Linked DNA regions of Oryctolagus cuniculus. The protein of the gene in region 2 interacts with the protein of the main gene of each other region in a pairwise test. Links are inferred from orthologs where the notes say so. Each region holds a gene or a part of one and is shown on either strand. Other genes may lie near its edges.

The links. The genes of interacting proteins can lie anywhere in the genome.
Region 1: the proteins of PTPN6 (region 2) and LAIR1 interact in binary tests that used the Homo sapiens proteins (3 or more experiments, as listed by UniProt). The link is inferred for Oryctolagus cuniculus from reciprocal best matches to the Homo sapiens genes PTPN6 and LAIR1.

What each region holds. Positions count from the first base shown.
Region 1 is NC_091449.1:4,209,922-4,213,666, reverse strand, and holds the start of LAIR1 (leukocyte-associated immunoglobulin-like receptor 1), read left to right. Parts: upstream 1-1,482; 5' UTR 1,483-1,601; intron 1,602-3,661; exon of another isoform or gene 3,662-3,745. UniProt on the Homo sapiens protein: Functions as an inhibitory receptor that plays a constitutive negative regulatory role on cytolytic function of natural killer (NK) cells, B-cells and T-cells.
Region 2 is NC_091440.1:102,598,195-102,601,939, reverse strand, and holds the start of PTPN6 (tyrosine-protein phosphatase non-receptor type 6), read left to right. Parts: upstream 1-1,151; 5' UTR 1,152-1,348; coding exon 1,349-1,362; intron 1,363-3,745. Other genes in the region: C9H12orf57 (protein C10), read left to right, coding at 409-560. UniProt on the Homo sapiens protein: Tyrosine phosphatase enzyme that plays important roles in controlling immune signaling pathways and fundamental physiological processes such as hematopoiesis.

The DNA.
Region 1 (3,745 bases), on a different chromosome or scaffold from region 2:
TTCCTCTCAGGAACGAATCCACAGCAACACTCCCAGGTCCGCCCGAGTGCTGTGGGTTCAGCTTGGAGAGGGAGAGGCCAGGCGCCTTGTCCAGGCTGCGTGTGCCACCCCACGCCTGGGCACGGGTGGCTCCGCTCCTGCTCCTGGCGGATCTGCTCACCTCCCTACAGAGGTGCCCACCGGGGGTGGCCTCATCTCCAGGGGCTTCCCCAGGACCCACAGCCGAGCCCATCAGGCATTGTGCCCTAGCTGCAGGGAGATCCTGGGGCTGTACGTGCCCAGGACTGAGGACGAAGTCCCAGCCCGTGGTGGTGAGGAGTAAGGGCAGCTGCCATCACACCCACGTGGAGACCCAGAGACCTGGCATTTGCCACTGCTGCACTCAGGGCCGTGCTGTGTGTGACAGCACAAACTACTAAGCAAGCACCTGGGAGTCCTAGAAGGGGTAAATATGGTGCGATCGCTCACACCCCAGAGCCCTGCAAGCCTGGGACTGGTGGGCTACACAGCTACGTGCGTTAGTGGGTATACACCTCACGGACACTGGCTGAGCAGCAGGAGCCGGGCGCACACCGAGAGAACGGGGGCCCTTTCACGCCCATGTAAGGAGCCGACGGGAAGTCCAGTCCACACTCTTAGGAGGCAGGACACACGTTGCCACTGGAGAGAAGCCATGCGTGCGTTTCCCAGGGAGCAGGGCGTGACCGTGGCTGCTGGCAGAGGACAGGAGGGCAACCTTCTCCTATGAAACCCCTGTTACTAACAAAGAAACAGGATGCCAGAGCCCCGGAACATTCTGCCGTCGGTGTGGTCACCAGCTGCGCTTGCTCAAGTGCCCCGCACTGAACCAGAGGGGATTGCCAGATGCCAGTAACACCAGCCCCGCTTCCTTCCTGTGCCTGGAACACGACGGCCACACAGACAGAGCCCAGTTTCTGTCAGGAAGGAGGGGGCAGCGGACATCTGCCATCTGCCGCTGACACCTGATCCAGGAGACCGATAGCGCCTCGCTGTCCTCAGAGCAGTGGATTCGAGAAGCTGGGAAGCGGGGCCTGCCTCGGGGCTCTGTGTGCACAGGTGCATTCCCAGTGCGGCCAGGTGCCCGTCTGCCCAGGCCGCAGGCCAGTCCCAAGTCTGGTCTCCTGATCGAGCTATACCGTTGGGGTTTTGCATATGCTGTTGGGCCACCCCACCCCTGCCCGCTTCCACAGGATGCTGGGGGAGATGGGAGATAGCTCATGTTAGCCCAAGATAGAGATTATAGACAGACAGATGACAGACAGACCCCTACGGGTACAAGACGACAGCATTAGCATGAGAGCTGTCCTCTTAAGAAACGGTAAGCGTCCACGGCCTCCACGGGTGGGGTATTTGGTGCGGTGGTGAAGACAGCCACGCCCACCAGGGCCTGGCTTCCAGTTGCCACGCCCACCAGGGCCTGGCTTCCAGTTGCAGCTACACCTCCACTTCCAACTTCCTGCGGATCATCTCAGGAGGCAGTGGTGGTGGCCCACGTGGTTGGATCCCTGCCCCCTACGTGGGAGACCCAGACTGGGTGCTGGGATCCTGGCTTCGGCCTGGCCCAGCCCCAGCTGTTGCAGGTATTGAGGGAGCGAGCCCGTGGATCTCTGTCTCTCTCTCTCTCTCTCTCTGCCTTTCAAATAGACGAAGATTAATGACTGAAGCAGTGTTGCTGGGCGATGTTTCACGGTGACTGTGGGCCCGGTTCTGCACAGTGGACTCACCTCGCCTAACTGAAAACGTGTGCCTTTGGTCACCCCTGCCCTGGCACCCAGCTCCGCAGCCTTTGGTCTGTGAACTTGTCCTGTGGGTGGGACACACGTGGCGCTTGTGTGTCCGCGGCTGGCCCATTTCACACAGAACCTGTGCTCGAGGCCCATCCGTGTCCCACGCGTGGATTCCTTCCTAGGCTGTGCAGCACCCCACTGCGTGTGCCCACCACACTGTCCGCTCGTGCGTCTGTGGACACTCGGGCACTTCCAGCTCTTGTGAGCACAGCTGTGGTGGGCAGGGGAGGGCAGGCGTCTCTGCTGCACACCAAGTCCATGGCCTTGGTCCACATCCAGCAGTGGGCTTGCAGGGTCACAGAATGGCTCCATGTCTAACTCTTTGTGTGTGTGTGGCTAATTTCGCCATTCAAAGGATTTTTATTAACATATACTTATGTCTGCAGTGCAACATTTGAGTACATACTTTCTTTTTTTTAAGATTATTTATTTGTAAAAGTTAGAGAGAGGTCTTCCATCCCCTGGTTCACTCCGCAGATGGCTGCAACAGTTGGAGTTGGGCCAATCCGAAGCCAGGAGCCAAGAGCTTCTTCTGGGTCTCCCATGTGGGTGCAGGGGCCCAAGCACTTGGGCCATCTTCCACTGCTTTCCCAGGCCACAGCAGAGAGCTGGATTGGAAGTGGAGCAGCCGGGACTCAAACCGGTGCCCATATGGGATTCTGGCTCCACAGGCAGCAGCTTTATCCACTACACCACGGTGCCAGCCCCCATATACTTTTTTTTTTTTTTTGACAGGCAGAGTAGACAGTGAGAGAGAGACAGAGAGAAAGGTCTTCCTTTGCCGTTGGTTCACCCTCCAATGGCCGCCGTGGCCAGCGCGCTGATCCGAAGCCAGGAGCCAGGTACTTCTCCTGGTCTCCCATGGGGTGCAGGGCACAAGCACTTGGGCCATCCTCCACTGCACTCCCTGGCCACAGCAGAGAGCTGGCCTGGAAAAGGGGCAACCAGGACAGAATCCGGCGCCCCGACCGGGACTAGAACCTGATGTGCTGGCGCTGCAAGGAGGAGGATTAGCCTAGTGAGCCGTGGCACCGGCCAACACATACTTTCTTAAAAATTGTTTTCTTCACAATAATTGTACAGGTGTAAGGGCTACCAGGTGACATTTCAGTTCACATCCCCAGCGTGCGCTGATCAAATCAGGGTAGCCAACATGTTCCACATCAGTTCGCGAGTGCAGGCTTGGATTTCTTTCTTCTGTTTGTCCGTAGACTATACGCGAGGTTAATGTGAACCGTGGGCCCCACTATGCTGGGTAACTAGGAGTGTACTCCTTCTACCTAAATCTGATCTGGTACCCACTTTCCAAACTCCCACTGTCCCTCCTACCCCTCCCAGCCTCTGGTAATCACCATTCTGGGTTCAGATTGAGGTGTTTTGTTTGGTTTTATTTCGTTTTTTTTTTTGAGCTCCCACATAGAAGGGAGAACATGCAGTGTTTGTCTTTCTGTGTCTGGTTTATCTCACTCAACATGATGTCTTCCGCTTCCAGCCATTTTGCTGCAAACGTCAGGTTTCGCTCTTTTTATTCCGTTGTGTATGTGCACCGCATTGTCTCATCCACTCATCCTAGGCTGGGCACCTGGGCTGACTCTGTGTCTTGGCTGCCGTGAACAGAGCTGGGACAGCTGGGACAGCTGGGACGGCAGCAGTGAGTCCCTGTTCTTCTGGGTTTGTACCCAGGAACGGGGCTGCTGGGTCACAGGCCGTCCTGGCTCTTGTTCTTTAAGGAAGCCCCACACTGTTCCCACAGTGACTGTGCAAACTTGCATTCTCACCCACAGTGTGCAAAGCCCACGTGCAGGCTTCCGTAGTGATGGCACGCCCCCCCCACCCCGTGTCCCCTGCCCCCAGCACCGTGCTCGCTGTACTCTCCCGCCTGGTGGGGGTTCTACCACAGACCAGCGTAGTCAGCACTTGCGGGGGTTCCTACTTTA
Region 2 (3,745 bases):
GCGCAGCAGGTTAAGCCAGCTGCTTGGGATACTGTTTCTAATCCAGCTTCCTGCCACTGCACCTAGGAAGCAGCAGACAATGGATGGTCCGAGTATTTGGGCCCCTGCTACCCACAGGGAACATTTGGATGGAGCTCTGGGCTCCTGGCTTCTGCCTGGGTCAGCCTCTGCTACTGTGGCTGTTTGGGGGAGTGAACCTTCCGGCGAAGAGCTGTCCCTGCCCCCTCTCTCTGTCAAATAAATAAATCTTTAAACCCAGAAATAAACCATGCCGGATTGAGGCCTGCATGCACCCTGTTTTGCAGACACTACCTAGCTTGAGGGGGAGCAGCCAGTAGCACAAGCTCAAGCCACCTCCCCATTCTGCAGTCTGGGGCCTGTGGGCTGACTATCCACTCTCTCTTGCAGGTGTCCTTAAGTTTGCCCGCTTGGTCAAGTCCTACGAAGCACAGGATCCCGAGATTGCCAGCCTGTCTGGCAAGCTGAAAGCTCTGTTCCTGCCGCCCATGACGCTGCCGCCTCATGGGCCGGCTTCCGGCAGCAGCGTGGCTGCCTCCTGAGAATCGGGCTGCCCTGGGCCCTGCTGGGAAAGGGAAGAGTGCTCCAGAAGATAATAAATGCACCTCTGACTTGGCCTTGGTCTCAGTCTCTTGTGGTCCTGATGGTGTTCACCCCACGCCCCAGGTGCCCTCTGCCTTTCCACCTGCCCAGGCTGCCCCGGCCCCCTACCCAGAGCTTCCCACACCTGCTGCTGCAGTGAGGGCCCAAGGCTCTCCACCCTCCCCCACCCCCGGGCAAGGTGAGAGGCTGGAAAAGTCCCTCAACACCCTGGGTGGGTGCGCCTGCACAGATGCCACTCCTGTCTGAGCACCTGGGCTTCCAGGGCTCTGCCTTAGGCCCCTGGGTTTTCCGCGGACGGAGCCGGCCCCTCATTGGTCAGGCTTTGCTTGGCCAGGGTTACTTCCTGGTCTTTGCCCCTCCCTGTCCTCCTGCTGCTCTCCGCCCGGGCTCCAGGTGGAGCTGCAAGTGGCTCCTCCCCTCCCAAGGGAAGGAGGCCCTGGCCCAGGCAGGCAGCCCCGCTCCGCAGTCCAGCAGGCCTGCCGGGGGAAGCAGGATGCCCGGGGCGGTCTCAGGCCAGCCCCGCCCCACCTATCTTTTACCCAGAGACCAGTAGTCCAGGGGCTCGTCCCTGCAGTTCCATTGGCCTGGCGGTCTGGATCAAGGAAGAAGTGGCCGGGTTCGCAGCGTGCCTTCTCACCTGACCTGGGCCGCTGCACACGGCTGTGCCCCTGGCTCGGCCCTGCCCCCCTGTGGCCATCTGCCTGTCGCTCCCCCATCCTCCAGGGAGATGCTGTCCCGTGGGTAAGTCCCCAGCACCACCTGGGTCCCACAGTCTCCTGGTTGTTGGTGGGGGGCGTTGTTCCTGCTCATTTGCAGATGTGAGAGTGAGCGTTGAATGCTGTTGCCCTGCTCTGGGTCCCAGGCTCATTCATATTCTGCTCCCTTATTCTTGAGCACTTACACCCCCCCCCCCACACAGACGGGTATCTGTTGTCCCCACTGCATTTCTACCTCCAGCCTCCCATCCCCTGCTTCTGCCTCCTGCCTAGGACCTGTCCCCCCTGCTAGCGCACATCACCTTGAACCTGAGTCCTAAAGCTCCCAGCTTCCACTTCCCCTCACTTCCCAATGTCTGGTCTGGGTTCCATTCATTGCTTCCACTCGTCCTGCTTCATTCGTTTAACAGATACGTGCGGGACATCAGGTGCTGTTTAGGATGCTGATAATCCTGGCAGGAGCAGGACAGATAGTACCTGCTCTCATGGAGCTTACCTTCCACTGGGCGGTGACGAAGCCAATAACTCAGTCCATAGGATAACTTCATGTTCTCACAAGTGTTACATGGACATGTATAGCTAGCTAGTGGCTGGTTCTGGTGACACTGCCAGCTGGAGGAGTCAGGGAGGGCTTCCTGGGGAGGTGACATTTGAGCTGAGACCTGCAGGAGGAGGAGGCAGCCATGTGGTGATCAAAGCCCTGATGTGGGGACAGATGAGCAAAGGCCACTGTGGGAGGGCAGCAGGGGAACCCAGTGGGGAGGAGGCAGGGCCGGGCAGAGTGACCCCACAGGAACTGGGATGTTATAAAGGAGCACCTCCCTAGGAAGTGCTGGTGAGGCTGTGGGTCACTTGGCCTCCTCTTCTCACTCCTATGCCCCTTCCTTTCTGTGCACGCTGCCTCCCTCTATGCACAGGGGTTCACACCCCCCCCACCCCCACACTCAGCCCCATCAATCTCACTCATGAGATTCTTTTTTTTCCTAAAGATTTATTTATTAGGGCTGGCACCGTGGTGTAATGGGCTAAGCCTCTGCCTGCAGCGCCAGCATCCCCTATGAGCACCAGTTTGTGTCCCGGCTGCTCCTCTTCTGATCCAGCCTCTTTACTATGGCCTGGGAAAGCATTGGAAGATGGCCCAGGTCCTGGGGTCCCTGCACCCATGTGGGAGACCCGGAAGAAGCTCCTGGCTCCTGACTTCAGATCGGCACAGCTCTGGCCATTGCGGCCATCTGGGGAGTGAACCAACAGATGAAAGAGCTCTCTCTCTCTGACTGCCTCTCTGTAACTCTGCCTTTCAAAGAAATAAATAAATCTTAAAAAAAAAAAAGGGGGGGGGGAGAGAGATTCGTTTAAAAAAAATGCTTTGGGTGGGGCTGGTGCCATGGCACAGAAGGTTAATCCAACACCTCCGGCACTGGCATCCCATATGGGTGCTGGTTCTGGTCCTGGCTGCTCCTCTTCCCATCCAGCTCTCTGCTATGGCCTGGGAAAGCAGTGGAAGATGGCCCAAGTGCTTGGGACCCTGCACCCATGTGGGAGACCTGGAAGAAGCTCCTGGCTCCTGGCTTTGGATTGGCGCAGCTCTGGCCATTGTGGCCATTTGGGGAGTGAACCAATGGAAGGAAGACCTTTCCGTCTCTTCTTCTCACTGTGTTTAACTCTACCTTTCAAATAAATAAATAAAATCTTAAAAAAAAATGTTTTGGGGGCCAGCGCTGTGGTGTAGTCAGTAAAGCCACCACCTGGGATGCCAGCATCCCATATGGATGCTGGTTCGAGTCCTGGCTGCTCCAGTCTGATCCAGCTCCCTGCTAATGCACCTGGGGAAGCAGTAGAGGATGGCCCAAGTGCTTGGGCCCCTGGACCCATGTGGGAGACCTGGAAGAAGACCCTGACTCCTGGCTTCAGCCTGGCCCAGCTCCTGCCATTTTGGCTATTTGAGGAATGAACCAGCAAATGGGAGATCTCTCTCTGTCTCTCCTTCTCTCTCTCTCCTTCTCTCTTTCTCTGTAACTCTGCCTTTCAAATAAATAAATACATCTTTATAAATTTTTTTTGACAGGCAGAGTGGACAGTGAGAGAGAGAGAGAGAGAGAGAGAGGTCTTCCTTTTGCCATTGGGTCACCCTCCAGTGGCCACTGCGGCCGGTGTGCATTGTGCTGATCCGAAGCCAGGAGCCAGGTGCTTCTCCTGGTCTCCCATGGGGTGCAGGGCCCAAGCACTTGGGCCATCCTCCACTGCACTCCCTGGCCACAGCAGAGAGCTGGCCTGGAAGAGGGGCAACTGGGACAGAATCCAGTGCCCTGACCGGGACTAGAACCCGGTGTGCCAGTGTCACAGGCAGAGGATTAGCCTATTGAGCCGCGGCGCTGGCCATCTTTATAAATTTTTTAAAAATATTTATT